2 linked regions of the Macaca fascicularis genome follow. The protein of the gene in region 1 purifies or fractionates together with the protein of each later gene. This does not show direct contact. Links are inferred from orthologs where the notes say so. Each region holds a gene or a part of one and is shown on either strand. Other genes may lie near its edges. The genes, in order: DUSP4 and MAPK8.

The links.
Region 2: the proteins of DUSP4 (region 1) and MAPK8 purify together in Homo sapiens (affinity purification with western blotting; 3 studies listed by BioGRID and IntAct, with this or other methods). This does not show direct contact. The link is inferred for Macaca fascicularis from reciprocal best matches to the Homo sapiens genes DUSP4 and MAPK8.

The regions. Positions count from the first base shown.
Region 1 is NC_088382.1:32,537,665-32,542,188, reverse strand, and holds the start of DUSP4 (dual specificity protein phosphatase 4), read left to right. Parts: upstream 1-1,676; 5' UTR 1,677-2,081; coding exon 2,082-2,514; intron 2,515-4,524. UniProt on the Homo sapiens protein: Regulates mitogenic signal transduction by dephosphorylating both Thr and Tyr residues on MAP kinases ERK1 and ERK2.
Region 2 is NC_088383.1:57,634,986-57,638,793, forward strand, and holds part of MAPK8 (mitogen-activated protein kinase 8), read left to right. Parts: intron 1-255; coding exon 256-380; intron 381-946; coding exon 947-1,010; intron 1,011-3,808. UniProt on the Homo sapiens protein: Serine/threonine-protein kinase involved in various processes such as cell proliferation, differentiation, migration, transformation and programmed cell death.

The sequences.
Region 1 (4,524 bases):
GAGCCCGGAGCAAAAGGAAATATCACCTTGCCCAAGCGGTGCCCCTCACAGCCCATCCGAGTAGGACCCGAGGGCCGAGGCATTCGGGGCGCAGTGGGGGACGAGGCTGGTCGAAGGTCTCGGAAGTGGAGGCTCCGCCGAGCTCCGGTGGGAGAGTGCAGGGATGCCCCCGGGACCGGAGGTGAGAGCTCTAGAGAGCAGCTCCGCCTGGAACAAAGGCATGGGGAGAGGGCGAGCTGGGGCGGGAGAGACCCGGCGGGTTCCGCTGCCCTCGCTGCCTGGGTCGGGCTTCCACGCGCGCGCTGGAATGGAATACGCTACTCTGCAGCCTCCGAAACTGCGAGCGAGTCCTGTAACTCCCTTGCTCTGTGATTCTCACTAACAAGACTTGGCAAGATGTCGGGCGAATAATTTTTGGCTTCTGCACGGTCCCCACCGCGTGCGTGCACAAACCCCCAGCCAAAAGCCGCCTCTGGGAAATTAAACGCAAAAGATAAATGGGGATGGGGAGGGCTGTTACGTGACCAGGAAAAAGGGATGCCCAGAAACCTGAATCAGGCCCAGAGCTGAAGTCCTTTCAAAAGGTCATTTTTTTACGGGTACATTTTCCAGGGTCCAGCTCCGCAGCAAATGTGGACCATGTCATTTCCTGAAAGGATAATTCACAACTATGCAAAATAGGGTGAAAACCTTTCCCAAATCCGAAAACCTTGTTTCTCCCCCGACCAGGGTTAAACAAACATCTTTTAGGAAGCGTGGACAGAAATGTAGACGGCTCTCCTCCCTCGGAACACCATTCCGGCAATTAATGCCTCCCTTTGGGTCGTAAAGCAACAAACCCCACACCTCACTCGGATCCTGGGCTTCGGGCGGGAGGACTTTCTCTTTCATCTTCCAAGCAGGGGGTTGCCCACGTTCCTGAGGAAGCTATAAAACTGATTTAATGGCTTTGGATGAAAATCGATCACGCTAATACAAACTACGTCTCAGGAATCACATTTTCAGAAAGGACTGGCCGTGTCGAAAGCGCATGGGGAGTCTGGGGCTAGGAGGTGCCAGGCCCCGCCGGGTGGGCAGCGGCGCTCTGGTCCCCTCTCCACTTGGGTACCCAGGAGAGACCTGCGGGGCTGTCACGCTGGGAAGCGCGAAGGTGCAAAGGGATGAAAGCTCAAACCCGAGCCCCGGCCTCCTCAGCCGGCTATATTCCTTTGACACCGCCCGCCTAGCGGCGAGGTGTAGCGGCGGCACAGGTGCCGGTGTCGGGTTGGAGGCGCGGCGCAGCCTGGGCCAGCGGGCAGACAGCGAAAGGCGCCGCGCGCTCCATTCACAAAGTCCAGGCGCTGCCTGCAGCTCGCGGCGGGTCGGAGGCCGCCTCGCTCTTCCTCTCGGCCTCGGTTTTATGAATGGGCCTGGCGGCGAGCACCCCGCGCCCTGTTTACTCCGCTCTTTGTGACGTCGAGTTCCCGTGACCAGGAGCCAGCGGCCGCGCTCCATTCAAGCTCCGGGGAGGGGGTGGGAGGAGGGGCTGGAGGGGGCGGGGAGTCAGCGCGGGGGGCGGGGGAGGGCGCCGAGCCCGGAATGGAACGGGGCGGGGCCTGGCGGGGTAGTACCTAGCGCCCCCTCCCCCTGGAGCGCGGAGGAGCATTAATAAATCTCTAAGCCTAGGAGGAAACTCTGGCTGGGGTAGTGCGCGGCGCGCCGGGGGAGCGTGGGGAGCGGCAGCGCCTGCGCCGGTGGCGACAGGAGCCGCGCGACCGGCAAAAATACACGGGAGGCAGCCGCCGAAGAGAGTCCGCGGTCCTCTCCCGTAAACACACTCTCCTCCACCGCCGCCTTCCCCTCCGCGCTGCGCGCCGCCCGGCTGGGCACCCGAGGCCGCTCCAACTGCTATGTGACCGCGAGGCTGCGGGAGGAAGGGGACAGGGGAGAAGAGGCTCGCCCGCGGGAGCCCCTGAGGACCAAGTTTGCGGCCACTTCTGCGGGCGTCCCTTCTTAGCTCTCGCCCGCTTCTTCCTGCAGCGTAGGCAGCCCGGGTGCCCTTCTCTTCCTCGCGCGCCCAGCCGCCTCGGTTCCCGGCGACCATGGTGACGATGGAGGAGCTGCGGGAGATGGACTGCAGCGTGCTCAAAAGGCTGATGAACCGGGACGAGAACGGCGGCGGCGCAGGCGGCAGCGGCAGCCACGGCGCCCTGGGGCTGCCGAGCGGCGGCAAGTGCCTGCTGTTGGACTGCAGACCGTTCCTGGCGCACAGCGCGGGCTACATCCGAGGCTCGGTCAACGTGCGCTGCAACACCATCGTGCGGCGGCGAGCTAAGGGCTCCGTGAGCCTGGAGCAGATTCTGCCCGCGGAGGAGGAGGTGCGTGCCCGCTTGCGCTCCGGCCTCTACTCGGCGGTCATCGTCTACGACGAGCGCAGCCCGCGCGCCGAGAGCCTCCGTGAGGACAGCACCGTGTCGCTGGTGGTGCAGGCACTGCGCCGTAACGCCGAGCGCACTGACATCTGCCTGCTCAAAGGTAAACGCGGGCTCCGGGCGCTAGCTGGAGGGGAAATGGAGGGGGTCTTGGCGGCCTGCACCTTATTGGCACGGGAAGGAGGGCCCGGCGAGATTCGTAGTTGCAGGGATCCCCGCGCGCCCTTTTGTGTGTTGGTGTGTACGGGTTTGCGAGGTTTCTGTGCAAGTGAGAGCTTCAAGTCCTCAGGGACAGTGCGGACGGGTTCCCCCGCTCACCTGCAATTCCGCACCGTCCTAGCGAGGCCCCGTTTATTGAGACTAACGGTCCTGGCCTCGAGGATGAAGCGGCCACTCTGCGCGGCCCATCTTGAGTCCCGGGAACAGTTCCCAAGTACCACGGGGCGCGTGGGGACAAGATAGGCCTGTTGGTTTGGCTTGCCAGGGCCCTGCACTGAGCCGGACCTGGAGAATCAGAGAGGTGGGGAAAAGGGTGAAGAGGGGTGGACGCCGAGGTACAATTGGCCCTGCCAGTTTCACTGAAAACAAGACCCTGGCAATGCAGAAAGGAGATTGGGTTGCACACACCGTGTAGAGCGATCTGTATCTGCGTTCCCGCTGCCCAACTCCGAGCTCAGCTTGGAAGGTGGCCAATTCCCGTCCCGGGCTAGATCCAGGCTCTGGGAGCGGGAGGCTGGAGGACTGGGTATCTGGGGGACGCCGGGCGGAACCGGTCCTCTAGCTCCTGCAAATCCGGGCAGCGGACAATGACCACCTTTTGTTCAGCCCGGATTTTCGACTATCTGATGGCGGCGCGTGCCGGATTTTAGCGAGCCCTGGCGAAACTCTTGGCGGCGGGGCTGTCTTGTCACATTTGTAGTCAGACATCCCGGAAAAATCGCGTGCCGTCCGAATCCCTGGAGGGATCGGGGGCCCGCCACACCTGCAGGGCCGGGTGGGTCCGCGGCCCTCGGGCTAGGGAGCGGGCAGGGCGCGTGGGGTCCGGGCGCTCCCTGCCGCGCTGCGCCCCCCGCCTCCCGCAGCCGCATTCCGCGCATTCTTTCGTGCGGGTCGGGTCTGCGCTTCCGAGCCCGGGAGGCATTTCGGACCCCCCCACACCCCATCAAAGAGCCGCTCCTCCCCCTGCAGGCGCCTTCGCCGCCTCCCTCTTTTCCTTTCCTTTCCTTTCCGCTCCTCTTCCGACCTGTCCACCAGGGAGGAAGGGAGCTGGAGGGGGGCGGAAACCTCTCCCCTCCAAAAAACACAACAAAATTGCTCGGTGCTGAGGAGCCGGGTTCGCCCCTGCCGAACAGCGGGGGGCTTTGTTCTCCGCAGTTGTTTCCTGCCCATTTGACCTGTCAGCTGCTGGGGAAACGCTGCTGTTGACCTTTGGTTGAACTGCTAAGGCGATTTTGCTGATTTTTATTTCTTTTTCCGCGGGGGCCGTCTTTTGCTCCTCCAATTGAGCCCAGTCCCCCTCCCTTCTCCCCAAAGCGCTCCAAGAGAAAGTGCCAGGAAGGGGCTTGTCCCGGAAGGCCTGACCGCTGAGCGGGGCCAGGTCCTGATTAGGCCACCAGGGTGGGCTTCCGCGCCATTGTTTGAGCTTGTCGGCGCTAGTGGGAGAGATGAGGGCAATTCCTCTGGGACGCAAGTCCCCTGGAGTGGCCGGGGCTGGCCGGCATGTTCCCCGCACGGCGCTGCCCTCGAGTCCCCCCGATGGAGAGCGCGGGCGCGCCTTCCTTCGCTGGCCTCCAAACCCGGGACCCGCGAGAACACAGGAGGGCTGGGCTCCAGCCCCACGTGGAGTCTGGGTTTGTTTTGTTGTGTTTTGGTTTCCTTCCTGGAAGAAATCCCGAGGGGACCGCTCTAGAGCGGCATCTCCGGGACCTCGTCCCTTGGGCTTCCGGGGTTGCAGCCACTTAGGCCCCGCTCCCGGGGAAAAAGGGATTATTTTTTAAGGTTTATTCCCAGGGCGCGCGGCATTTCCCTGTCCCTCGTGAATCCCGTTGAGAGTCCACCTCCCCAACCTCCTCCGTTTCCTCAGCCAAACCGATTCGAAGCCCTGGAGACTCTG
Region 2 (3,808 bases), on another chromosome or scaffold:
TATGTGTTCGTGTGTTTATATGTATTCATATTCTTATGGGACATAACCCAAGGTTTTCTCTGGATGGTGGGAAAAAAAATGAGGTTTTATTTTTCTTTAATTTTATATATTTTAATCATATGTATAAAATAATTTTACAGTAATATTTTTAAAACATATGCTTTTAAAATAAAAAATAATCTCAAATTGCTGAAAGTTATTAATAATTTGAGAACCTTTACAAATATATGTACATTAACATCATTATGTTTGCAGCCAGTCAGGCAAGGGATTTGTTATCCAAAATGCTGGTAATAGATGCATCTAAAAGGATCTCTGTAGATGAAGCTCTCCAACACCCGTACATCAATGTCTGGTATGATCCTTCTGAAGCAGAAGCTGTAAGTTATTTTCTTAATGTTTACAGAACATACTGCATTCTTAGAATTACAGTTAGGTTTGGAGGAGACCTTTTAATTTTAAATAAAAATGTAGATACATGATGATGATGTTTTTCTGTTTCTTCATGAAAACTACGTCAAATAAACTAATGAGCATATTTGAGCCCCTCCTACACAAAATAAAGTCACCTCCCACTGTTTTTTGCAATCTTGCCTGGATACCCTAACCAGAGAACTAGGATGTTGAATGCTCTGAGGGAACATCCTAACTCAGTTATAAAAGAAATTACTATATCCAAAGGAAAACGGAATTCTGTGATCTATGATATAAATAAAATGTGGCAATTTCAAGAGCTGGAAGAAAAGAAAAAGACAGTTAAACATTTTTTTTCCTGCAATGAAGGAGTCTTCCTATTCTGTCTATATAAGAAAGTTGATGATTGATCAGTCTTGATCTAATGATACATTTTTATAAGTCATCTGTCTGGCTAATATTTCAAATAACTACAAAGAGTTAAAATACTCCCAGCATACTGACTCAATTATTATTGCCTTGTGTTTTTCAGCCACCACCAAAGATCCCTGACAAGCAGTTAGATGAAAGGGAACACACAATAGAAGAGTGGAAAGGTACATTCATCAGATTCTTAGAGGGAAAACTGCGAAGGAGCTTCTGGTTTTTATATGGTGATTTATTGTCATGTTAGAGAAATTTGTGACATTTTCTGTGCATAACTGAAATTTGTTAATATTAATATTTTTACATAAGTGGACAGTAAGTCTGCTTCCTTCCTTAACTTCTTAAGTTCCCGTTTCCCACCCCAGACACAGACACATTAGTGCTCTCTCTCATGTTTTTCTATGGTGTGTGAACATACAAATGTGTTTAGTGTCTCCCACCTCTCTTCTTCCACCCTTTTAAAATCACATATGGTTGTGTACGATATATGCTATATGTACTTGCTTTGTTGATATAATCAGATATCTGGAAGGTTATTCTGTTTTGGTTCACATATATGCCTCTCTTGCTTTAATAACTGATTAGTGTTCTGCTGTATGAATGTGTCACACTGTATATCCATCTCCCTCTTGATGACCATTTAAATTGTGTCCAGTCTGTTGCTGTTAGAAACAACTCTGCCGTATTCATGTTCACATATGAGAACATACCTGGAAGAAAAATCCTAGAAGGAGATGTGCTGAGCCAAAGGATATTTTTCAGTTATTTCCAAATTATTCTCCAAAGAAATTGTAGTAGTGTACACTTCCATCCATATTGTATAGGAGCCTCTCTTTACCCTCACCCTTGCCAACAGAATGAGTTAATTTTTAATATTTGTAAATCTAATATAGTAGTTTTATTCTATTTTATAAATGTGGCTGAAATTAATCATGCTTTGATAGTCATGGAAGTGTTCAAAATATTTCTTCGAAAGGTCCCCTGAGACATGTGGGCCAGGTAATGTTTAGGTCCCATTTACTTCCATTTGTGTTGTTGTCCTTCAGTGTTTTGACCACTTTTGTAACTGTGTGACTTTGAGTAAATCACTCCCCCTTCCTCCCACCCTCCTACACCGCCCCCTGCATTTTACCTCATCTTAAAATAGAGGCAGAAGACCTGTTATTAAGAGTTGTCTTTAAATCCTGGGAAGCCAAAGTGGACTGGGGAGGTATAAACATGAATAAGTAACCCATCTATAAATGTGTTTTGCTAAGGATGAATTTGATTCTTTCTTAGAAATTGAAGAGATTTAGAGATTGATTTTCTGTGAACTTTGGGAAACCCATGGTTAGCAGAGCCCATGATAAAGTTAAAAAAATGACAGAACAATAAAACTGGATAGAGTCTGCTGCATTTGAATATGTAATATGCATTTGAATATGTATACAGATATAGCTCTGTACTGAATATGTATGAAAGCATTAACCTGATATTTTTACATCCTACTAATTTACAATAGACCATGAAGTATTTTATAGAATCTTGTTTTTTTGTTTTGTTTTGAGACAAGGTCTCACTGTGTCACCTAGGCTAGAGTGCAGTGGTATGATCATGGCTCACTGCAGCATCAAAACTCCTGAGCTCAAGTGATCCTGCTGCCTCAGCCTCCCCAGTAGCTGTCCACCACACTTGGCTAATTTTTTTTTTGAGACAGGGTCTCACTATGTTGCCCAGGCTGGTCTCAAACTCCTGGGCTTAAGTGATCCTCCTGCCCTGCCTCAGCCTCCCAAAGGGCTGGGATTATAAGTCTTAAGCCACTGCACCTAGCCTAATTTTTTTTTTTTTTTAATTTTTGTAGAGATGGGGTCTCACTCTGTTGTCCAGGTTGGTCATAGACTCTTAATAGGCCAGCAGTTGTAAGGCACACCATTATGTGCCACAAAGAAAAAAAAACACTGTCAGTTGTCCAGCACCATTGATTATAAGATGGAGTCAGTTTCAGAGTTTAAACTGAAAAAAAGTACATCTTAAAATCAGTGAGATACAGTGTTTTCATTTGTTTAAGAATATATTTGGGGGTTTTGATTGCTTTAAAAACATTTACCTTTATTCTGTATCTCTTACTCCTAGCCCCAGGTGCATGTCAGTAATTACCCACAGACTGCCTTTTTCAAGATCTACCTAAGAGTTTTAGCTCATAACAGAAAGAAAAATTAATTGCCAAAGCCATTAATTACAGATGGCTTTGCCTAGTTAGTACTCCTAATTAGTGTCGGTTCTTCTGCCTTAATCTCTTTGTGCTTTTTCCCAGAGGAGTGCTATTTTCTCTCTTAAAAAATCCTCATATTGCAAATGTTTATCATTCCTTTTTGTTTCTTTGAAGAAGACCATCTCTTATTCTCTCCTTTATCAGTGCTTTCTATTTTTCTCCTTCCAAGCCTTAAGTTACTATAACAAACAAACTTGTCTCCAGTTGTTGTTCATTCCAACATACTCTCTTGTTTTACCTTATTACCAATATAAATGTCATACTCTGTAATCAGGGATTCTTTGTCAGAATTTTCTTCTTCAGGAATTAACACAGACTCCTTGAAATTCGATGCAATATTTTTTGTTTGTATGTTTTTCTCAGAAGAGGGTTTTACAATTCTCAGAAGATTCCATGACCCAAAGAAGATGATAAATAGTGGTGATGATGTGGCATCCACCATTAAGATTACGTGTGGTGTGCCTTGTGAGTCTGAATGTCTACTTAAGAACCTTAAGAAGGTTTTTTGTTTGTTTGTTTTTGCTTTTTTGTTGTTGTTGGGATGGAGCCTCACTCCATTGCCCAGGCTGGAGTGCAGTGGCGCAATCTCAGCTCATTGTAGCCTCTGCCTCCCAGGTTCAAGCAATTCTCCTGTCTCAGCCTCCCGAGTAGCTGGGACTACAGGCGTCTGCCCCCATGCCTGGCTAATTTTTGTATTTTTAGTAGAGATGGGGTTCC